Linked DNA regions of Struthio camelus. The protein of the gene in region 1 purifies or fractionates together with the protein of each later gene. This does not show direct contact. Links are inferred from orthologs where the notes say so. Each region holds a gene or a part of one and is shown in the gene's direction. Other genes may lie near its edges. The genes, in order: TIPIN, RPA1 and TIMELESS.

The links.
Region 2: the proteins of TIPIN (region 1) and RPA1 purify together in Homo sapiens (affinity purification with western blotting; 4 studies listed by BioGRID and IntAct, with this or other methods). This does not show direct contact. The link is inferred for Struthio camelus from reciprocal best matches to the Homo sapiens genes TIPIN and RPA1.
Region 3: the proteins of TIPIN (region 1) and TIMELESS purify together in Homo sapiens (affinity purification with western blotting; 6 studies listed by BioGRID and IntAct, counting the BioPlex papers as one, with this or other methods). This does not show direct contact. The link is inferred for Struthio camelus from reciprocal best matches to the Homo sapiens genes TIPIN and TIMELESS.

The regions. Positions count from the first base shown.
Region 1 is NC_090953.1:3,201,501-3,209,272, forward strand, and holds the start of TIPIN (TIMELESS-interacting protein), read left to right. Parts: upstream 1-4,760; 5' UTR 4,761-4,969; exon of another isoform or gene 4,970-5,189; intron 5,190-5,592; 5' UTR 5,593-5,615; coding exon 5,616-5,748; intron 5,749-6,335; exon of another isoform or gene 6,336-6,428; coding exon of another isoform or gene 6,429-6,471; intron 6,472-6,961; coding exon 6,962-7,055; intron 7,056-7,772.
Region 2 is NC_090957.1:16,142,441-16,150,022, forward strand, and holds the start of RPA1 (replication protein A 70 kDa DNA-binding subunit), read left to right. Parts: upstream 1-4,544; 5' UTR 4,545-4,651; coding exon 4,652-4,684; intron 4,685-4,977; coding exon 4,978-5,025; intron 5,026-5,300; coding exon 5,301-5,379; intron 5,380-5,936; coding exon 5,937-6,045; intron 6,046-6,851; coding exon 6,852-6,940; intron 6,941-7,582. Other genes in the region: SMYD4 (SET and MYND domain-containing protein 4), read right to left, coding at 59-191, 923-1,089, 1,403-1,585, 1,910-3,077, 3,553-3,642, 4,043-4,244, 4,286-4,416. UniProt on the Homo sapiens protein: As part of the heterotrimeric replication protein A complex (RPA/RP-A), binds and stabilizes single-stranded DNA intermediates that form during DNA replication or upon DNA stress.
Region 3 is NC_090969.1:434,459-441,932, forward strand, and holds the start of TIMELESS (protein timeless homolog), read left to right. Parts: upstream 1-4,399; coding exon 4,400-4,512; intron 4,513-4,641; coding exon 4,642-4,790; intron 4,791-4,871; coding exon 4,872-5,025; intron 5,026-5,145; coding exon 5,146-5,260; intron 5,261-5,350; coding exon 5,351-5,413; intron 5,414-5,525; coding exon 5,526-5,627; intron 5,628-5,820; coding exon 5,821-5,976; intron 5,977-6,090; coding exon 6,091-6,224; intron 6,225-6,303; coding exon 6,304-6,391; intron 6,392-6,469; coding exon 6,470-6,646; intron 6,647-6,754; coding exon 6,755-6,972; intron 6,973-7,093; coding exon 7,094-7,197; intron 7,198-7,278; coding exon 7,279-7,448; intron 7,449-7,474. Other genes in the region: MIP (lens fiber major intrinsic protein), read left to right, coding at 428-547, 1,094-1,258, 1,706-1,786, 2,755-2,958. UniProt on the Homo sapiens protein: Plays an important role in the control of DNA replication, maintenance of replication fork stability, maintenance of genome stability throughout normal DNA replication, DNA repair and in the regulation of the circadian clock.

The DNA.
Region 1 (7,772 bases):
TCTGTTCTATGACAGTTGACTGCTCAGCTGAAAGAACTGTAATGCTGCAACAGTGTTTGTGATAGCAACACATGCAAGGATGCCTGCAGTTATTTACAGTAGCTTGTGAAGTCTAAGTATCAAGTCTCTCTGTGATAAAAAAAAGGGAAAAAAATGTTTTTACTACAGAAGAAATTGAGTTGCAGCTGAGGTTGTTTTCCCCTTTACCCAACTGCGTGTGGAGAAATGCATGGACTCCTTTGTCTGACACACTGAACTCCTTTGCAGAGAATATGCGAGTCTCAGAGAATGTACAATTATGACAAATGCCTTGTATAATTGTAGTTGCACTATATTGCAGTTGTTCACATGAGTTATGCAACTCTAGTTATTCTAATAGGTTGTAAAGTATGTCCTCTTTCTCGGAGCAGATTATTGCAAGGAAGATATTATTTTCTTTTAAAGGTCCGGGTTGAACAAACAAGAATTTTAGTTATGAGCTGTAATTTTTCCCCATAAGCTTTGAATCATTTTTCTCCTTCTAACATTGTTTTTTTTTTTTCCTATCAGGTTAGACTATATACTAAAAAGCCTACATAAACAGGTGAATGTCTGGACATGTTTACCGACAACAGAGGTTTCAGTATGCAGACTTTTTTGAAATACAGCAAGAAATGTGTGTGTATCACATACATTATTTCAGCTGACAGTAAAAGTGCAGAGTAAATTCCATCACATAACTTATTTTTTAAGTAATTTGTATGAAGAACTACTATGAATTCTGTTTCAATTTTCTGTGATTTGCAAATGTAAAATAATGATTATACTTTTGGTCAAAGCAGTCATTAATGCTTTTATGGAAATTGAAATTTATTATGGGAAAAATGCCCTATATATTGTGCAAAATGCTCTATTATTCCTAGCATCTCACCCATTTCTAAAGTAAAAAAGACTAAATTATTTTATTTTCACAGCTCTGCCCTTCATACACACACTCCCCCGTCTATTAAATGCCAGGTAACGTTAAGAGATAGCTCCCTCCTGCGGTGTACTTTATACTTGCACTGCAAACAACACTGCGGTCTGAATTCACTTACCTGTTTTAGAGTCCATTTAACCTACTGCAAGACAAAGGTATTTTGATTGTCTGAATACAGAAATATAATCATATGTGTACAGACTGATGCCACCTCAAGAACCATTTCAATATAATTGCTGCTGCCATCACCTAGTTCCTCAGGCGCTATCGTACTCTTGGAACTTTTAGGGGGACCAAGCCTTAAAAAAAGGGCTGGATGGCCTCTAGGCTTTGTTCAATGAGACCTAAGACGCTTTGGGGATTTTTTTTGTTTGTTAGTAAGAACGGACGATCTTACTGATCAGTATAGGCATACTATTATTTCCTAAATGATCTATTTTATTTTGCGTGATTATACAGTATATTTGAAATGTTTCAAGAATGTTGTAGGTTGGTTGGAACTTCTCTAAAACAAACAGATTTAACTTCAGTATATTTGCAACTGAAAATAAAGCACATTTCCTCACCTAAAACAAAGCAATTGTAAAGCCGGTGGGATGTGGGTTTTTCTTACAGACAGGTGTCTCTGAATATGGCTCACGCAGGAGAAGATGAACAAAAAAATATAAGCGAGGCAGTGTAATCCGTAAGAAAGACTTCCAAGCAGGGAGACTTTCTGATTTATTGATTCAACTACTTCTTGAAAAAAAACAGAACTGTAATATATGTCCCTGTAAATAGAACTGCATCAAAGAAGTTTGTCTCCATTACCACTTTTTTCTCTCATGAGACTAACCTAAAAAAACTGAATTTTGGCTAGTTTCTTGTATGAGAAAGAAAAGAATACTAAAGATTTGGAGACTCAATAATCCATATAATAAGGGGAGATAACTTGCAGGAGGCTGATACTGAATCTGTGAAGCAGATATATAGTATATAAAAATACAGAACCTATAAAGTAGCTAAAATATCTGTTAAGTTCCCCTCACCTACCAGTCAGCAGTCAGGAATAAAACACTTATTTCAGTATGAATTATTCCTTTCCTCACGAACTTGATTACTGCATACCTTAATTGCAGTCCTAAATTAGCCCAGTTTTTAAAACCTGATTGCCACATAAAGCTGTATATTTTACTGCCGAGACATACACACACAAAATTTTATTTGCAAGATTTATTACTTCTTAATCTATTTAGTGCTTAACAGAGCAATTCAGGGAAACAATTAGTCCCATAAGCAATGGAATTTAAGAAGCCTAACACAATCTTGATTAAAACTGGCCACCAGAATGAAGTTATTAGAAGGGGGCTGACAGAGAGATGGACAGACAATCAAGCAGAAACCAGTCTTGTACGTTGTTTTCCTCAAGAAATAGGGATTGAAAAACCCACTGTGGATCAGAACAAGAACTTAAATATATCCGTATACTAAAAGGTTAAAAATATATTAATTTTTAAGATGACTGTGTAATACAAAATTTGGATTAGATTGACAAAGTATAAATCACAAATATCCCACTGATACAGCTACACTAGTATCAATATAGCCTACTTTGCATAGAGTTTATGGATGGGGAATGATATTATTATATACACAGGATTACCAGTATAATACTAAGAGGGTTTTGCCAAACAGGTTGCACTCCTGTAGCGGTAAACCCCTCCAAATGCAAAAGTAGCCAGTTGTCCATTTTACAGATTTTCTCTGCCCTATGTTAAGTATAGGATAAAATAGGAAATGAGACAAAGTATTCATTTTCTGCATTTTTTCTCATAAAATAACATTATTAAATACAGAAAGAAATAAATAATACATCTGTTTCCTCTAAGCTAGAAACCAGAAGTATTTTCTAGAATACAGCCAAGTTATGGCTTTTTTTCCTGACTTATTATTTTATCAGCATGTGGCTGGTTATTCATTTCCTGAGAAAAAACAATAATCAATGCCTGCTAGCATATGTTTTTCATTTAATTAGGAACATAGGACTGGAAAGAACCACCCAGGTCATCAAGTCCAGTCTTTAATTAAACACTCTTCAAAAATATTGATTAATCAAAGTTGCATAAATATGGTAGGTTTTATAAGACAGTACTCCTCCACAGAGATTGTAAATAATCTTCTGCTTTAATCCTTGTATAGTACTTTTTCTTTCTGTTCGTAAAAACAGCAGTGAACGGAAACATTGCCATAGAAATTTTGTTTATTGAAAAAACATGCCTTTCAAGCACTTTTTCCAGTTCCATTATCTGTCTGTCCTGGCTAGGACAAAACACCTACCACAGATCAGACATCTGCTTCTGCGGATTGGATGACCTGTGTGTCTGGAGACTGGCCAGCTGGCGACTGTGAAACAGAACAGAAAAAGGCCACCATCTCTCTGCTGAGTACCCTACCACCATATTTCTCTTCTACCTCCCAGTCAATTTTCAGAAAGTATGCAGGAGCTTAAGGGAAATTAGAGAACCTGGTATCTCTGGTAAATTCAGTTGACATAACTACTTAAAATCCACACAGAAAAAAAAGCAGTAACAATTAAGGAAAACAATTCTAAATTGGTTAGATATTCAGGCAACACCCAAAACCTATGATTCCCTTGTTTACAACGAGTATCTTTTAATATAAAGAGTGACTATTATTTTCAGTGTAAAGAGCTTCCCATGGTATTCAATATTTGATTTTTAGTCATTTTATACGACAGAAACAAGTCTTTAGTGTTTTGTTTTGAGCTGGAAATCGGCAACATGATTTATAACAATTAATGTATCTTTCTGTTCGTTTTTCATACTTTCTGAGCTTCAGTAAATTGAAAAAACTGGCCGTATCTAAAAAGTTGTTTGCTAACAAATTCATTAATATGCTTGTTCTTCTATGTGTATTTCTAACTATAAAAGATGTTCCTCTATTTGGGAGTACAGATTTTAAATACTGTTAAAATCATTTTGACTGAAGAATAATACCCTTTATTTTTTTAACTGAGAAGTATCTGCAAGTGATTTTCTTTGTCATATCAGAAGGAATAAATTAAGTTTTCAGACATATTATATGTATCAAACTCCTAGAGAAAAAAGGGAAAACCATTTTCCTTCTGTGTTAATAACGGACACCACTCATTTTGCTTAAACGGTCTGCCGTCTAAGTGAGATGCATTTACACCGACCGACCTGTAAAATATGCAAACAGTATTTTTCAGATACAACAGATCAGTACATCACCTGCTGAAAACTGGATTTGTGACTGACAAAATCGCCAACAGCACCGGAGGCCGCAGCATGGACCCTCCCTCCTGCGGTTTCTGCAGACGGCAAAGTCCCTAAATGGCATTTTCTGTGTGTAGCTGCCAAATCTCATTGGGCTTGGTGTATTTCTTAACGCCTGGACAACTGCAAGCTCTTTATTTTTAATTACCAGAAGGCTCTAATCTACATTTGGACCGAGAAAAACCTGCCCTGGAAGTCTTTCCCCACAGAGGTAGGAAAGTCAGCAGAGCTCCTCGTGCGGTATCTTAAATCCCATTTCAGGGGCTGATTCATCATTCTTTCCCGAGTTGGCCTAGCAACCTTAGATGCTTCAAACGCGACCGGCACCCCCCGGCATTTTAATTTGGCCAAGCGCCACCACACCGCACCCGGGGAGAAGCGAGGGAACGGGCCGCGGCAGCCCTGCCCCACCCCCACCCCCACCCCCACCCCCACCCCCTTCCTCAGGTTTTGGCGCCAAAAGCGCTGTGCGGGGCCGCGCAGGCGCGTTGGCACCGAGCGGCCGCTCGCCTCAGCCGAGAGCTCGCGAGATGGGCGGTTCTCGCGGTGCCTCCCCCGGCGAGGCCCCGCCCCTCCCCGCTCCCCGCCAGTGCTCTGCCGCCGGAGCCAGGAGTTGCTCGTGAGGGGCGCGGGGCGCGGCGCTCGGCCCTCGAGGCCCCTCAGGAGCGCCTTCGCCGCCCTGGCTCCGGCTCCGTCAAGGTTTCACAGCTCAGAGGTAGGGAGCTCGCTTTCTCCATCGGAGGCCAGTGCCGGCGGAGCTGCTTGGGCTCCCCTGTGCCTAAAACGGCAACTTTCTCTCAAAAAAGAGAGCTGTTCGCGAAGCCACGTGTGTGCGTGGTGAGCCCCCGTGGGCTGCTGTGCGCGAGTCTCTGGAATTAGCTGTGCTAAAGCAAGTGGCAAAGGGGGATCCCCCTCCGGACTGCATTTCTGAGTGGGTAAGCTGTAAATCGGAGGAATTATCACCCCTCCCCCCAGGAATCTTTGATTTTTCAAGGACTTGAAGGAAAACAGCTGTCTTAATAAGCGCTTTAGTTACTTTCTTTCCTCTTTTTTTTTTTTAACTGTATTCCTGTGACCCGTTCCTGCCCCTCCCAAATAACTCTGATGAGTTGAGACATGACAAACTCTTATCAAAACCTTATCTGACATCATGAGACTGGATTGTGTCATCCTTTTACATGGTATCTGCTACATAACTTTTTGGATGGTGATGTTTGTTTGTTGTTTTTTTTTAACTGGCAAGTATTTTTCAGGAACCCATGGATGTGTTGTGTATAATTGATACTTAGCTGCTGCTTCTCACTGCTGCTTTTTAAATGTTTTTGCTATTTCCTGCAGGAGAAAACAGTTAATTTGTGGCAATGATAGATCCCTTAGAGAACAACTTGTTTGACCTTCCTGATTATGAGAATACAGAAGATGAAACATTTCCACCTCTTCCACCTCCTACCTCTCCAGGAAAAGATGATGCTGAATGGGCTCTAGCTAATGGAGGTGAACACCTGTGACCCTTAAAGAACCAATTTTGCAATACAGGCTATGAAAACAATTTTACTCTTGGTTGTATTATTCACTACCTTGAATTTCTTATATGTTATGACTATATTATTTATATAAAAATAGCTCTCTCTATATACAGCCTTACATAAAAATAGCCTCATAAGTAAGAAAGCACTTAATAAATTTAAATTATACATGATTCTACACATCCAAGCTTGTGGGAAAAGTTTGTTTTTGTAGAGTCCATCAAAACATCTGCAGTACAAATGGATCTTTTAAAAATTCAAGCTTTTCTGCCAAAATATCAGTAAAGATAATTATACTACAGTGATCTATAGTTACCCTCTATGACTTACCTTGAGTGGAGAAAAGGTAAGAGTGCTAAATATAGTAGTTTGGGAGATGTTACTTGTTTCGGTAAAGCATGCGATTTAGGAAAAGTCCAAGGCACTTCAGGACAAGTGAAACTTAAAACTAAAGCTGTTCATGTTTGAGATGATCTTACAGCCATCCAGTATACTGAACTGGCTAACAGAAGACTCAAAAGATTTCTTTTCAGTGTTATTTATAGGCAAATATGAGTAGACCTAATGTTAAGTATGCGTTTTCCTTGATTCCCTGCTATGTCTGTTTACTAGAAAGTATGGTTTGGAATAGATTGAATTCCTCGATATATGAAAAGGAGAGTTCAAACTTCTGACTTCCTGATGTTCAAAGGTACAAATGTAAAAGAAGAAATCAGTATGTTAACTAATTGCTAGTTGTTAGCTGAGGTGGGCAGTTGTGTCTTACCTGTTAAAGTCAAAAGTATACATACAGCCTTAATGAAAACACATAAAATTTTGTTCTTAAGACATGCAAGCTCATTGTTTTCATATGTTACCCCTTTCTCTATTTTTGAAGGTGATAGTGAAGTTTCAGGCCTCTAAGATTTATCATGGAAATTTTGAGAAACATCTCTTATCACTTGAGGTTTTTAACTCTTAGAACTGGCAGCAGCTACTCTCAATACATTTCTGATCAGAAATATACAAGTTGTAAAGCGAGGGTCTTTGAAAAGAAAGTGTCCTTCTTTGCTAGAAAAGTTGATTCTTTGACTATTTGTGCCCAGTGCCTTTGAGATAGGGTAGAAACTTAAAAATGTATGTTGTGTAACGCTAGTTGATGTAATTTGCATTACATACTGACAGTATATTTCTTTTGTTAGAAACAGATGGTAACCAGCAGTCACAAACGAAGGATTCTTCTGCGACTACACGGAAAGCAGTTAAAAGACCAATACCTAAACTAGATGCCCAAAGGTGATTTTTTTGTTGTTTTTTTGTTTTTTACAGATTATTTCTTTCTGTGATGTATTTCGTACATGGCTGTCGGGGAATGATTAAAGTGCTTATCTACCCCAAGCTAAAGATCAAGATTTTTGGAGATGAAAGTTCCTGTTGTTGCATGCTGCATTTCAACCTTTTTATTCCTTGCTTGCCTATATAATACTATTATTAGTCAAACTTTCTTGATGGTTACTTGGGGCTTAGCACATGCCTAATAACTTGTTTGTAGATATTTATTTTTCATACATAGGACTCTCATCCTTCAGCTGTATCATCTTTATTTTGGCTCAGACCTATGACTGTGGTTTTCTTATTATTTAATTGAAGTGCACTTCAGAATAAAGCCTCAGTGTAAGAATCTAAAGTACTATATAAAGTACATTTATATGTGACTTCTGTACAAACTGGGTAAACTCTGTGTGAAAAAGTTAAGGATTTCAGTATTTCCCTTGCTCTTTCCACTAAAAAAACACTGGGGGTATGGTCTATATAAAAAATGGAAAGAATCTGAGCTTCTGTGGACTGGCCTTTCTGTTTTGTTCTGTGTAATTAAAATCAAAAAGTTGCTTGGACAGGGACTATTTGTACGGTGACTTTCCAAAAAGGTCTCCCTCTTTATTGCAGTCTTTATCCTATTGTGTGGGTCTCTGTGCGTGTGTGTTGGTTTTTCTGTTCTGTGTTTGTGTTTTA
Region 2 (7,582 bases), on another chromosome or scaffold:
AGGTCTCCCAATGTGTCCTCATTAGCTGCCCACCTTAAAGCAGAAAACTAAGTCTTACCACCCTTGTTGTCGCTTAGCAGTTTTAATGCTTTCTTGATTCGTTGCTGAAGGTCCCATAGCCGCTGTGACAGGCTCTCTCTGCTGACTGAGAGTGCACAAGCTCCATTTGAACAACAAAGTATGTCTTCTCCCTGTGGAAGTCATCCACGCCATCATTCCTGCTCAAGTTCAACTCAAAGCTTATTTTCCATCTCCACGTCTGTATCGTGTCACAGAGCTGCTACATAGTTCCTCAGCTACATTTGTTAAATAAAGGGAGTAGCTCATAAAGTGCTATTAGATTGTTCAGATTTTAGGAGAAACGGGAACAGCTATGAAAACACGTGCTAGTCTGAGCCCACTTAAGATTAAGCTGAAAAAGGGTCATGAGGTACACAACAAACTGTTCATATAAAACACACACTTTTGTTCTCTTTCTTCAAAAAAATGACTTTCCTCATTTAACTCATGGCTAGATGCTGGTTTTGTTTACATCCTGTGAACTGCAGATAATGCAGCTCCCACTACGTATGGCCTCCTGTAGGTACATCCTGTTTTCTAGACTCTGGGTCTCCGTTTCTGTTTCTTAAACACCCCCACTACCCCAATCCATGGCCCTGATACTCAGGGTTTCTTTCAGCAAGTTCAAAGGAATTTTAACTCCTTGTTAAAGGCAGTATTTTCCCTGTAACAGTGGAAGATTGACATACAAGAACATTCCAAGGAAGCTGCTAGAGAGCAATGAGACACTGCCTTGCTCCTGCAGGGTCTTTTGCCTTCAGAGCAGAGGTCACAGACTCAGATCTTTAACTGTGACTTTCCCAGAGACCCAAACGTTACTCACCCTGATATGGTTATATAGTTATAATTATGGAATAATTACCTGCATTGAAGCCCGGCAGCTAGGGCAGCAGAATGAGTTTCTCATGGACACCACACTCTTGACATCAGACTCTATCTCTTCAAGGCACGCCTGACAGCGACACTCGAAGAAATACTGCCTAAGAAGCTGTTGTCTCTCAGCAACCCTCATTCTACATCGATGAGGCCCTGCAAAGGGAGGACAAGGACAGAAAGCGCTAAACAGGTACAGTCCCTAACAAAAGCCTGAAATCTATCCTCGTTTTGACTCAGACTAAATATACCATCTTTTGAAGAGGATGAAACTGGAGACTGTGAAAGCAGAACAGTGGGCATCTGGAGATAAGGACTTGTTCTGATACCTTTGATCAAGACTTACACGTATGCATAAGCTCTAGCAACATTACACTTCAAATTACTATCCTATTAGCAATCAGTCTGCATGCCAAGTAGAAGTGAAAGGATGCCTGGATCTTGAGATAAATACAGAGTTAAAACTCACCATAGCAATGAAAAATCTCTTGGCCTCTTGGGATTGCCTGCGATGCCCTGACAGTGGCAGCTGTCCCACTAAATGATATGCTGATATTGGGACTGCATGAATGGTTCAGAAGGCTGAGGACAGGAAAGAAGGCAGTCGCCAGGCGCACAGGCTTCTTATTTACAACAGCACCATCTCCGGACCCTAAAAACAGAGGGAAAAACAAATATGTTGGGAAGGAAGTCTTAGTGACCCACCAAACTTAATGCAATGGGCACTGGATCCAATCACAGACATCAGTAGGAAAGTTCCTGGCATATTGCTGTAATGAAAAGTAGCTGAATACCATCTAAACGTACACCAAAGATAAGGACAGGCAGGCAGGAGCAAGCCATCAAATTTTACAAAAAACAAGTAGTCATTCCCATCTGCAATGGGAGCTTTTTACAACTGCTAGTTCAGTTTCTCCACTTCACACAAACTAGATGAGCAAGGTTAAGAGGAAAGGGCTTAAAGTGTTTATCTTACCCAACTCTTGCATTACAGTGATCGCTTGCGCGTTACATTGCAGCTGCAACACATGCCTCAGCATTGCTTCTGCCATAATCTTCAACTCTGGAGACAGTTCATCAGACCCATTTTCACATTCTTTTGGCTTGGACCACTCCTCAGACGATTCCCGATTCAAGACAGCAGCCTCTAGACCAGCTTCTTGTAGTTTTTTGCATATAGCTACTATGCTCAGCACGCAAAGGAACTTATGTTCAGGGCTATGCTTCTCAGTATGTGGCAAGAGGTTGAACACAGCTTGGTAAGAACTCTGGTACTGACCGTTGTCATTACAGCCAGGAATCAGAGGCTCTGCCTTCCCAGGGATACCACCTCTGGTATTTGGTACCTCATTGATATGTTTACATCTTGCCTCAGGGCTATGAAGGTCCTTGTCATCATCGTGGGACTGCTCCACCAGCCTACTAACCTCTGCAAATCCTGCCAGCAGAACAGTCCTTAAGGCAACGTGGCAGAAGACCCCTAATGTGAGAAGCAGCGCTCCCAAGGAGCATTCTGTCCTGTGGTACTGTTCCCAGGCCAGATCTGCACAGTTTTGGCTGCAGTACTTTGCATAACTGCATCCACTGCAGGGCACAGAGGCTAAGAGCTGCTTCAGACAACGGTGACAATAAAGATCTGCATTAGTGACCCGAGTGTCCCACACTGTTTCACTACTGTCAGGCAACAGAAGACTCTCCCCTGGGCAGAGAACACTCACAAAGGCCTTCTCTTTCAGCAGATTCTGTCCTGGCAAAATGTCCTGAGAGGCCACCAAATGACGTCCTCTCTCTATATCAAAATTCAAGCTCAAAGATGAAGATGCACCTGAAATGCTGTCATTCTCTTCCCAGATCTCTGACTCTCTTTGAATGGCACCGTGTGCTTCTGGCGCAGGCTCTGGACAGCTCTCTTTCTCATGTACTTTAATCTTCAGTTGACTTATCTTTTTTAGCAGTGCCTGGTGTGTAGCACTAGTCATAGTCTGATCCACAGCAACTTTATTCTCCGCTGCATTGAGGGCCTCTGCTGCATCCTGTAACCTCCCCAAACACAGCAGACATTCAGCTTTCCGCACCAAGACCTTGGGCAGCAGCCTATCTGGATAGCCATGACCTTGAGCCCTCGCAATATCTTCCAAACAAGCCTAGAAACAAAGATGAGGCCTTTTAAACGTACCTGAAAAGCAGTTGAGACTTGTGCTCTTTATCACATCAAAGATTCAACACATTTTACTCAAGATAATACCGATCAGCAGATTCCCTCTCCATAGCCAATCTGTTGGCCAAATAAAGATTCACAATGCAGACCGAAGAGAGAGAAAGCAGGAATTCTTCAGAAACAGTTCCATAACGACGGAAGTTTTAGGCACGCTTCAAAAACACATCTGATGTATACTCTGTTGTGCTAATATCCAAACAGCCTTTATTGGGGGGTTCCTAGAAGCACTCACCTCAAGCCCGACGTGCAAACGTGACATAGTAACGCTCCTAGGCGCCGCTTGGGATCTCCTTTGGCCTATGTCCCCCCTCCAGCTAGGCAGAAGGCCCCAGGTCACACGCTGGGAGCACAGACTTGCTCCAGGCACCCAGGAGCACCTCTGCTCGCCCGCCGCCGCTTACCTCAAAGCGTCCGAGGTGGAAGAGGGCCGCGGAGCGGTTGGCGAAGCACAGGGATACCTCGGGGCTGCCGGGACGCTCGTGCGACGCTGCCTGCGGAGACCAGGCAGACGCTGCCTCACCGGGGCCGGCAGGGCGCCCGCACCGGGGACCCCCTCGCCGGAGGCCCCGTGCCAGGGGCTGACTTGAGGCCTCCCTTACCGGGACCCCCCTCAACCAGGGCCGGCTGTGATCCCCCCTTACCGGGGGGGGGGGGGGAGATGGGATGGACAACCCTAGTCCCCCCCTCACCAGGATCCCCTCAACCAGGGGGCCCCCCACAACGAAGCCCCTCCTTGGGGGCCTCACAGAGCAAAGACCCGCCCCCCCCCCGCACTGAGGGCCCCCTCAAAGTCCCCCTCCCCCACCGAGGCCCCCCTCAGCCGGGACGACCCGGCCCCCCCCCCCCCCCACCGGCGAGGTCCGGCCCCGGAGCCTCCCGCCGGCCGCCTACCTGCGAGTAGAGGCGGGCGGCGGCGACGTACTGGCGGCGCCCGAAGCGCCGGTTGCCCTCCTCCCGGTAGCAGCGCGCGGCCGCCGGCTCCTTGCCCGCGCGCGCCCGCCGGCACAGCCGCCGCAGGGCCGCCGCCGCCTCCTCCTCCTCCTCCTCCTCCGCCTCGGGCCTGCGGGACACGGCGGTCAGCGCCTCGCCTCGCCTCGCCTCGCCTCGCCGCCCCCCGCCGCCCCCGCCGCTCACCCGAGCAGGCCGCAGCCCAGCCGCACCGCGTCGCGCAGCGGCGCCGCCGCCAGCCGCTCCCGCAGCGCCGGCTGCAGCGCGGCCCAGCGCCGGGCGGCGAACGCCCGCCACTCCTCAGCCGGCAGCGCCATCAGCTCGCTCCGATGGCGGCGCCCAGCGGCACCGGAGCGGCCGCACGCTGCGAGCGCTTCCGCCGTACGGCGCCGCCCAGCCAATAGGGGCGCTCCGGCTGCCGCTGCGCGGAGGAGGGGAGGAGCCCGCGCGCCGCGGTGACGGAAGGAGAGCGCGCCGGAAGGAGCGGGGCCAGGCTCGGGGCGGCGGGAGGATTTGGTGGCGGCGGCGGAGCGCGGCGCAAGGCGCAGCACCATGAGCGCGCGACTGAGCGAGGGCGCCATCGCGGTGAGGCGTCGCTGCGCGGCCAGCTCGGGGTGGGGGGGACATTGGGCTAGGTCTGGTCGGAGGGGAGCCAGGCCTAGAGCCGGACTCGGCCCTGAGGCGGCGGCGGTGGGGGGCGGAGGCCGGGCCTGGTGCCCCGCGCCGGGCCGGTCCTGAGGGGAGGGCCCTGGCCGGGCTCAGCGGTGCTGGCCTTGCGCGTTACTTTTGCTGTTTCCCAGCGGTTCCCCCTCTGCTGTGGGTCTCCTGAGCGAAGAGGTGGCATCTCTCTGAGGGTCTCTTTTTTTCCTCCTCTCTAGGCCATAATGCAGGGGGAGAACATCTCCAAGCCCGTGCTGCAAGTCATAGTGAGTACTCTTCCTTACTTCGTCCTGTCAGTAGTGACTGCCTGCGCTTCCTTGTAGGGTTGTGAGCAGGGCCAGACTGCAGCTGAAGTTGCTCAGCATAGGAGCCTTAACGTGATTGAGTAAAGTAGGTTTTGTGTGATTTGAGCTGTGCTGTTGGGAATCAGTGCTCAAGAAGAAAGCTAAATAGACTGAGTCATTCACTAAAGATGTGACTTTGCTTCTGAAGCGTTTCTGAATGAACCAGTGAGGACTAACAGTCTGGTGTTTCCCTTCAGAACACGCGGGCTATTGCGACAGGAAATGGGCCACCGCGTTACCGAGTGCTGATGAGTGATGGTGTTAACACGCTCTCCTGTAAGTATGACAAGCCGTAGTGAGATTTTTACAAGTGTGGAGATGCTAATGTTGCCATAGTTTCTGGTCTAACATCTAGGTTTGTAGTGATGAAATGAGTATTGAAGGAGCAAGTGACACGTAGGGACCGTTTGTATTCTGAATTGTGCCACTGCATTTCAATACTCAGACAAAATCCTTTTTTTCTGGAATTTTTTTGTGAACTGTAGGCAATTAACTCACTGCAGGGTATCATGAGGACAAATCTATAGCGGATGTTTTCATAACAGTGTCTTTGAAGTAGTTTAGCTTAATCATTTTCTTATTTCTTTAATGCATTCTAACTATCATTGCCTGATCGAATCTCCTAAGTTGAGGGATCAAATCCTTATTTTACGTTCAGACTGCTGGTGAATTGTTGGCTGTTACGCTGTTTCCTGTGCTGTAATTAACAGGGCAAGCTGTAGATCTAAATTAACGCCAGTCGACTGACTGGAAAAGTTGTGGCCAACCATGGTAGCCTCTCTTAAGGCCAGCATATGGTAGTTGTTTCAATATTTTTCTTCTACTTTTTGCAGCGTTCATGTTAGCAACACAGCTGAATTCTCTTGTGGAAGAGGAGCGCTTAGCAGCTCACTGTATCTGCCAGATTAACAGATTCATTGTCAACAGCCTGAAAGATGGAAGGTATTCATGTTGTTTTAGATACAGTAATGCTAGTGGGTGCTCTATCCTGTGTGACTAAGCAGAGGCCAAGTGCTTTTAGTTGGGATTATCTGTAAATAATTGGTCTTGAGTGTACAGGAAGGAAAATACAGAAGACAAGCAATAGCAGAAGTAAAAATTACTGAATGTAATGGCAGTGGGTGCGGATGTATCTAATACAGTAGTTTAAGTAATTGAAGGCAACCAGTTGCAATACACAGAATTGTACTGAGGTTATTTTAATAAACCTAAAATAAAATTTACTTAAAATCACCTCTTGTAGAAAAGAAATGATGAAGTTTTCCTGTTACTTAAAGTCGTTGATCTTTCTTTTATGAAGCTTTGAGAGAAGAGAAAGGTAGGATGCTGTAAACTAACAAGTGATTTAGGTAAAGTGACAATCTAAAAACTGTGCAAGTGTGTTAGAGAATGGGAACTGATGTGCTGCATCTTTTTTACTCAATGTTTCTGTAGAGGCAATATAACGTTCCCTTGAGTCAGGGGATGTATCCTCTCTCGTAAGATCTGACTCTGTTCTTTCAAGCCATTTCTGTATGCCCATTCAGCCTGTCATCTTCTGTCTCTGATGAAACGTAATATTGTTTTAAGCCTACCTGTACCTTGTGAGTGGGTTAAGCTGACAGTGGAGAGCTCTTCTTTCCAGATCTCTTGTCCAAAAATCTGCCCCTACTGGTTGTTTCTCTTATCTGCATGCAAAGGATGTTCAAAGTCTGTTGGACTTACAGAGGGAGTGAAAATCTTTATCGCTGTCTGCTCTGTGTTTGTAGGAGAGTAGTTATTCTGATGGATTTAGATGTTCTGAAAACTGCTGATATGGTTGGTGGGAATATTGGCAATCCGGTGCCATACAATGAAGGTAAGTAACTACTGTAGAAAAATACCTTGTCTGAAGAGACTGTTAGGATGGTCTTTCAGCTGCCTGTTTCGTTGTATTTAACAACGTGCAGGCAGATGCGTTCCGCTTCCTTATGCCTGCAACAGTGATGTCCAGATCTTGAACGTCCTTTTTATCTGTGTAACGCAAAATAAACTTTGTTTGTATTCTTGTAAATTCTTCACCGTGGCTGAAGTTTCAGTATGTGGTATTGGGAAGTATCTATAGTTTGTGATAACATTGAGAGCTTTTTATCATACATTAGTGGTCTGCATCTAGACTTCCAGTAAGTGTGCAGAAGCTGTTCTGTATCTTTTCATAATGAGTAACCCAAGAGACTAAGATTTTTGGTCTGGAAAGAAAACAACAGGAGGAGGATGTAATAACGATCTATGAAACTGTAAGATAGCATTGGAGGGGATGAGTAAAGAATGATGACTCTCTCCCTCTCTTCTGTGTTCATTTGATGCTCTTTAGTTCTTACATTATCAGACTGTGGTTTTAAAACAAAGGCTGTACCACACCCCCAAACACTGCATAGTTAAATTATGGAACTCGATGCTACATGATGTGGGTGCCAAAAATTGGCACAGATTCAAAAAGCAATTAGACGTGAAGGAAAAA
Region 3 (7,474 bases), on another chromosome or scaffold:
GCCTGGGCAGCGAAGCGGTTAACGGGCGGTGGGGGGGTGGCGGCGGCGGGATCCCACCCCCGGGGCCGAGCTGGGGTGGGGGGGGGGTTATAAGGGCGGCCGCGGGGGTGGGCTCCCCCGCAGAGGGGGCGGCGAGGCGGGCCAGGGCCGGGGCAGGGGCAGGGGCAGGGGCGCAGGGGGCCAGGCCATGCGGGAAGTGCGCTCGGCCTCCTTTTGGAGGGCCGTGGCGGCCGAGTTCCTCGGCAGCCTCCTCTACGTGCTGCTGGGGCTGGGGGCCTCGCTGCGCTGGGCCCCGGGCCCCCCCGGCGCCCTGGCGGCCGCCCTGGCCTTCGGGCTGGCCCAGGCCACGCTGGTGCAGGCCCTGGGCCACGTGAGCGGCGGCCACCTCAACCCGGCCGTCACCGTGGCCTTCCTGCTGGGCGCGCAGCTCTCGCTGCCCCGCGGCCTGGGCTACCTGCTGGCGCAGCTGCTGGGCGGCCTGGCCGGGGCCGGGCTGCTCTACGGGCTGACGCCGGCCGCCGCGCGCGGCACCCTGGGCCTCAGTGCGGTGAGCGGCGCCCGGGCGGGACGGGGCGGCGCGGGGGGGTGGGGGTGGCTTGGGGGAAGGGGGTTACTGGGGGGGTGGGGGTCGGGAGGGGCTGGGGGTGATGTGGGGCTGGGGGTGATGGGGGGGGTGGTGAGGGGTCTGGAGGGGTTTGGGGTACCGGGGGGCTGAGGGTGATGTGGGGGTTTGGTGGGGATCTGGAGGGGTTGAGGGTGATGTGGGGCTGGGGGTGATTTGGGGGGTAGTTGGGGGTCTGGAGGGGTTTGGGGTGCCAGGGGGCTGAGGGTGATGTGGGGGTTTATTGGGGGATGAGGAGGGGCTGGAGGTGCCTTGGGGCTGGGGGTGATGGGGGGGGTTGTTGGGGGACCAGGAGGGGTTGGGGGTAAATGGGGATGATGGCTGGGGGTGCTGTGGGTTGGGGGTGCCGGGGCGGACGGCGGTCTGGCTCTTTGGGGCGCTCGCTGCCGGCGGGACGGGGGGAGGTCTCGCCCCCCCCCCGCCCGGACGCCGGGGCTCCCCGCGGGGGCTGACGCCCCTCGGCCCCCGCAGCTGCACCCCAGCGTGGGCCTGGCCCAGGGCACGGCGGTGGAGCTCATCCTCACCATGCAGTTCGTGCTCTGCGTCTTCGCCAGCTACGACGACCGCCGCGACGGCCGCCTGGGCTCCGCGGCGCTGGCCGTCGGCTTCTCCCTCACCCTGGGACACCTCTGCGGGGTAAGAGCGGGGGACCCCTGCGGCGGGCTGTTTGGGGACCCCCCCCCGTGGCAGGCTGTTTGGGGGCCCCCCCCCTTGTTGGTGGGCTGTTTGGGGACCCTCGTCGGCAGGCTGTTTGGGGACCCCCGTGGCAGACCATTTGGGGACCCCCCCCCCCTCAGCCGGCCATTTGGGCGCCCCTCCCCCCCCCCGTGGCAGGCTGTTTGGGGACCACCATCAGCAGGACGTTTGGGGACCCACCCCCCCCCGTGGCAGGCCGTTTGGGGACCCTCATCAGCAGGCTGTTTGGGAACCCCTGTGGCAGACCATTTGGGGGCCCTCATCAGCGAGCCGTTTGGGGACCCCCCGCCGTGGCAGGCCATTGGCATGCCTGCTGGCCTCGTTTGCGCCCCCCCGGCCGGGCGGGGAGGGCAGCGGCAGCCCCCCCACCCCACGTGCCTCCTGCAGATGTACTACACGGGAGCCAGCATGAACCCCGCGCGCTCCTTCGCCCCCGCTGTCATCACCCGCAACTTCACCAACCACTGGGTAAGTGGGGCCGGGGTGGGGGCCTGGGGCACCCCACGTCCCTGCCCTAGTCCTGCCCCAGCCGCGTCCCAGTCCAGCCCCAGCCCCAGCCACGTCCCACCCGGTCCAGCCGCTTCCATGTCCAGCCCCAGCCGCATCCCAGTCCAGCCGCATCCCAGTCCAGCCGCATCCCAGTCCAGCCGCATCCCGGTCCAGCCACATCCTGGTCCAGCCCCAGCCCCAGACACATCCCAGTCCAGCCCCAGCCGCATCCCAGTCCAGCTGCATCCCAGTCCAGCCGCATCCCGGTCCAGCCACATCCCGGTCCAGCCACATCCTGGTCCAGCCCCAGCCCCAGCCACATCCCACTCCAGCCCCAGCCGCATCCCGGTCCAGCCACATCCTGGTCCAGCCCCAGCCACATCCCACTCCAGCCGTATCCCACTCCAGCTGCATCCCAGTCCATCCACATCCCAGTCCAGCCACATCCCAGTCCAGCTCCAGCTGCATCCCAGTCCAGCCACATCCCGGTCCAGCCCCAGCCGCATCCCGATCCAGCCCCAGCCGCATCCCAGTCCAGCCCCAGCTGCATCCCGGTCCAGCCACATCCCGGTCCAGCCCCAGCTGCATCCCGGTCCAGCCCCATCCCAGTCCAGCCCCAGCTGCATCCCGGTCCAGCCACATCCCGGTCCAGCCCCAGCTGCATCCTGGTCCAGCCCCAGCCGCTCCCGGCCCTGCTGCCCCTCCATCCAAGGGGAACCAGCTGCTGCATCTGCCCCAGCGCCAGCAGTGCGGGCAGCCCCGTCCCGGAGCAGCCCCGTGCTCGGGGCTGTGCCAACGGGGTGCAAAGAGCCCCCTGAGCTCCCCCCCCCAACCTCTTGGAGGGGCTGGGTGGGACGCGGGTGCCCCACGGCTGCACCGGACCCCCCAGAGGGAGGGTGGGACGCGAGCGCCCCGTGGCTGTGGCAGACCCCCCCCTCTCCCCGCAGGTGTACTGGGTGGGCCCGCTCCTGGGCGGCGTGCTGGCCGGCCTGCTCTACGACTTCGTGCTGGCCCCGCGGCCCCGCGGCCTGGCCGAGCGCCTGGCCATCCTCAAGGGCGAGCCGGCGGCCGAGGCCGAGGCCGAGGTCGAGGCCGAGGCGCCGTGCGAAGCGCCGGCGGAGCCCCTCGAGCTGAAGACGCAGTGCTTGTAGGAGCGGGGGGCGCCCGCGCCGCCCCCTGGCCCCCGCCGCCCGCCCGGGGAGGCCGCGACCCGGGGGCGGCCTGTGCGCCAGGGCGGCCACCGCCGCCGCTTTTAGTTCTCCCGTTCTCCTTTCTCCGTGGACTTTCCTTTACTTTGCGGTGATGGGGGCCGCCCGGGGCCTCCGCTTGGTTGTATTTGGGGGATGGGGGCGGAAAGGACCCCCCCCGCCTCCGGCCGACCCCTGCCTGCGCGCGGCCCCCCGGCAGCGCCTCCCCCCACCCCGTGCCGCCCGGGCCCTGCGTGTGCGTGCGTGTGTGTGCGGTGCCGACACCGGCCGGGCCCTGCCGGCGGGGGGGGGGGGGGTCCCCGGTACCGGAGGGGGGAGGTCCCGGTGCCCGGGGCCGGCGTGGCCTGGCGGTTCGCGCTGAGGAACGGGCCGGGCCGGCTCCGTGCGGCGGGGATCGCGGGGGGTGGGGGGGGTCACCGCGGCCTGGGCCCCGCTGCCGGGCGCCCATCGCGGGAGGCCGCACGCGCAGCCGGTGCCGGTGCCCGTGCCGGCCCGGCCCGTCCTTCGCGCCGCCCCGCCCGGCGCTCCTGTGTTCAGTGAATTAAACCTGCTCTTTTATTTTGGTAACCGCTCTCGACCGTGGCCCGCGCCCCGCACCGGGCCGCACCGGGCCCGCGTCGCCCCGGCAACCGCGCGGGGGGTGACGGGAGTCGCCGGGGGGCGGGGCCGGGGTGGGGCGGGCCAGTCGCGCGCCGCCGGGGAAGCCCCGCCCCTTCCCGCCGCGGGGGGCCGGAGACACCGCCGGCGCCGGCTCCTCCGTTAAAAGGGCAACGCCGCGGCGCGGAGCCCTTCCGGCAGAGCGGCCCCGGCCAGGGGCGGCCGCACCGCCCTGTTGGGAGCAGCCGGGCCGGCCGCTGCGGGCGGCGCCCCACGGGGGAGGGCTGCGGGAGGGGGCCGGGCCTCTTGGGTTCCGCAGGGCTGCTAGGTAGGCAGGGGGCGAGCGGCCCCACCAGCGGCCGCTGAGGGAGGCGTTTCCCCTTTAAGCCCGCGGGCGGGCTCGGGCGCCATCGGGGCGGCGGGCGCGGGGCGCGCGGGCGGCGCGGCGCGGCGCGGGGTGGGGGCGGGGCAGGACGCCTGGGTCCCTCCCCGCCGCGGCCCCGTGAAAGTAGGTTGCGGGAAGTGGGGCGGTTGCGTAACGGCCGCCTGCCCCCGCCCCGCCGCCTTTTTAGGGCGGGCGGCGGCGACGGGCGGCGGTGAGTGCGGCGGTCCCGGTCCCGGTCCCGGTCCCGGTCCCGGTCCCGGTCCCGGTCCCGGTCCCGGTCCCGGTCCCGCCGCGCTGCTGTCGCCGGGCAGGAGACCCAGCGGTGCCCCGGTCTCCGGGGTGGGGGATCGGGACCGGCTGGTGCCCTGGGGACAGGGGAGGTGGGGTGAGGGTGACCGGGGGATGTCCCGGTACCGGGGGCCAGGGAGGACCGGTGCTGCCCTGGCCGGTACCGGCAGGGAGAGAGACCCAGTGGTGCCCTGGTACCAGTGGAGGGGGGACCCAGTGGCATCCCGGTACTGGGGGAAGGGGGACGTGGTGACACCTGGGGACCTGGGATCCGGGACCGGCCGGTGCCCCGGTACCGGGGGGTGGGAGGGCGCTGCCGCCCCTGCCCCCCGTGAGCCCCCATGTCTGCCCCAAAGGCGCTCCGGCCCCTCCGCGGCCCCCGGTCCCCTCTGCTGCCTGCCCGGATTTATGGACTTGTACATGATGAACTGCGAGCTGCTGGCCACCTGCAGCGCCCTGGGCTACCTCGAAGGGGACGTCTACCACAAGGAGCCCGACTGCCTGGGTACGTGGGCCGGGGCAAGCGGGGGCCTGGCGGGGCGCCGCTGAGGGGGTCTCACGGCCCCCGCGCTGCCCCTCTCCGCAGAGAGTGTGAAGGACCTCATCCGGTACTTGCGCCATGAGGACGAGACCCGGGACATCCGGCAGCAGCTGGGGGCGGCCCAGATCCTGCAGAACGACCTGCTGCCCATCCTGGTGCAGTACCCGCAGGACAAGGTGCTCTTCGACGCCGTGGTCAGGTACCGCCCGGGGGGTGCAGGGACGGGAGGGCGCCCGGCGCCGCTCCCCCGGCACGGCAGCCCGGCGGAGAGGGGCTCCCGGCGGAGCAGAGCTCCCACCGCGCCCTGCTCCCCTCCCAGGCTCATGGTGAACCTGACGCAGCCGGCTCTGCTCTGCTTCGGCAAAGTGCCCCAAGATGCCACCTCCCGCCACCACTTTCTGCAGGTCGTGTCCTACCTGCAGGCCTACAAAGAGGTGAGCCCCCGCCATGGGAACACGGGCTCCTGCCCAGCTCTGCGGGGCAGAGGGTCGCTGCCCCAGGCCCTAACGTTAGGTTTTCTCTAGGCTTTTGCTAGTGAGAAAGTTTTCGGGGTGCTCAGTGAGAAGCTCTATGACATGCTGCAACTGGTGAGTCCCATTTCTCCTAGCAGCTCCCCGAGTTTGGGTGCCTCATCCCTGCGGAGCAGGGCCTGGGTACTGGGGAGGAGCGGGGGAGCCCCTCACGCCCTGTCGCCCCCAGGACTGGGAGCAGCGGCAGGAGGAAGACACGCTGCTCATCGAGAGGATCTTGCTGCTGGTGCGCAATGTGCTGCATGTGCCCCCGGACCCCACGGAGGAGCAGGTACCAGGATGGAGGCTTTTCCTGTGTGCCTCGCCCCCGCTGCAGTCTGGAAAACTGGTCTGGGGGCAGCTCCCAGCCCCCTGCAGGGCTCCTGCCTTGTCCCTTCCCCACCTGGGGCTGTGATGGCCCCGTGACTTTCCTGGGGACCCTGGTGTTCTGCGTGCTGAGCCCCGCGTCTGCCCCCTCCTGCCAGGGCGTGGATGGTGACGCCAGCACCCATGACCGGGTGCTCTGGGCCCTGCACATCAGTGGCATGGACGACCTGCTCAAGTTCCTGGCCAGCTCGCAGACTGAGCAGCAGTGGGCCCTCCACGTCCTCGAGATCATCTCCCTCATGTTCCGCGACCAAGTGAGCCTGGGTGGGAGGTGACAGGACACAGGGGGGACTCGCTGCCTCCCTGCTCCCTCCGGAGCCCCCGGCACGGCGCAGCTGACAGCTTGGCTCCCCCCCCCCCCCCCACAGAACCCCGAGCAGCTGGCCGCGGTGGGGCAGGGCCGCTCAGCCGCTGAGCGCGGCGAGGACACGGAGGAGCTGGAGACCCTGCGGCAGCGGGAGCTGGCGGAGAGGAGGAGCCGAGCGCTGCAGCGCCCATCCAGGTGATCCATCGGGGGCCAGCAGGGGTGTGGGGCCCCGCTGCCGCGGGCTGGCTCCGCTCACCCTGCGTCCCCATCCCAGGCACTCCCGCTTTGGTGGCTCCTACATCATCCAGGGCCTGAAGGCAATTGGGGACCGGGACGTTGTTTTTCACAAGGGCCTGCACAATGTGAGTAATGGGGCCAGGACAGCAGTGGGGAGGCTGGGGCACCGGGACATGAGTCGGCATTGGTGTTTGCCCCCACAGCTGAAGAGCTACAGCCACGACCTGGGCAAGGAGGTGCGGAGGGTGCCCAAGCGCCGGCTGGCGGCCCGCGAGGCCGAGCCGCCCCGGCGCTCTGCCCGCAACGTCCGGCTCTTCCTGCGCGAGTTTTGCCAGGACTTTCTGGAGGGCTGCTACAACCACCTCATGTACCTGGTCAAGGTGAGGGGGCCGGGGCTCGGGGAGGGACGCGCAGCCCTGGAGTGCACAGCGTAACGGCCTGAGGCAGCGCAGTGGTCCTGGCGCTGACCCTGTCTCTGCCTCCTCCAGGACCAGCTGATTCGGGAGAAGGCTCAGCAGCACGATGAGACCTACTACCTATGGGCTACAGCCTTCTTTATGGCCTTCAATCGGAGCCTGCGGTTCCGGCCAGAGCTGGTGTCGGAGACGGTGGGAATCCGCGCCTTCCACTTCATTGAGCAGAACCTCACCTCCTACTACGAGATGGCACTGATGGACAAGAAGGAGGCTGCGACCTGGGCCCGCAGGTGGGCGTGTGCTGCTAGGGCGCCTGGTCCTGTCCCTGGCTGTGGAGCTGTTGGTCTGCGAGGGCAGTGGGTGTGATGCTGGGGGGCAGCGCTGTGCCCTGGCCTGACACTGTGTCCCCAGGATGCACCTGGCCCTGAAGGCCTACCAGGAGCTGCTGCGGACGGTGCAGGAGATGGACCGTTCGCCTGAGCAGGCCGTGCGGGATAGCAGCCAGATCATCAAGAGTGAGTCTGTCCGTCCCCCCTGCCATAGGCTCCATGCTCCATCCTGTTTTCCTAGTTCTTGGCCAATCCCTTCTCCTTCAGATAACATCTTCTACCTGATGGAGTACCGGGAGCTCTTCCTTGCCCTCTTCCGCAAGTTCGATGAGACGAAGCAGCCGCGCAGCTTCTTGCGGGACCTGGTGGAGACAGCCCATCTCTTCCTCCGCATGCTAGAGCGCTTCTGCCGGGGACGTGCGGGCCTTGTCGTGCAGGTGGGCTGTGGGTCTGGAGACCTGCC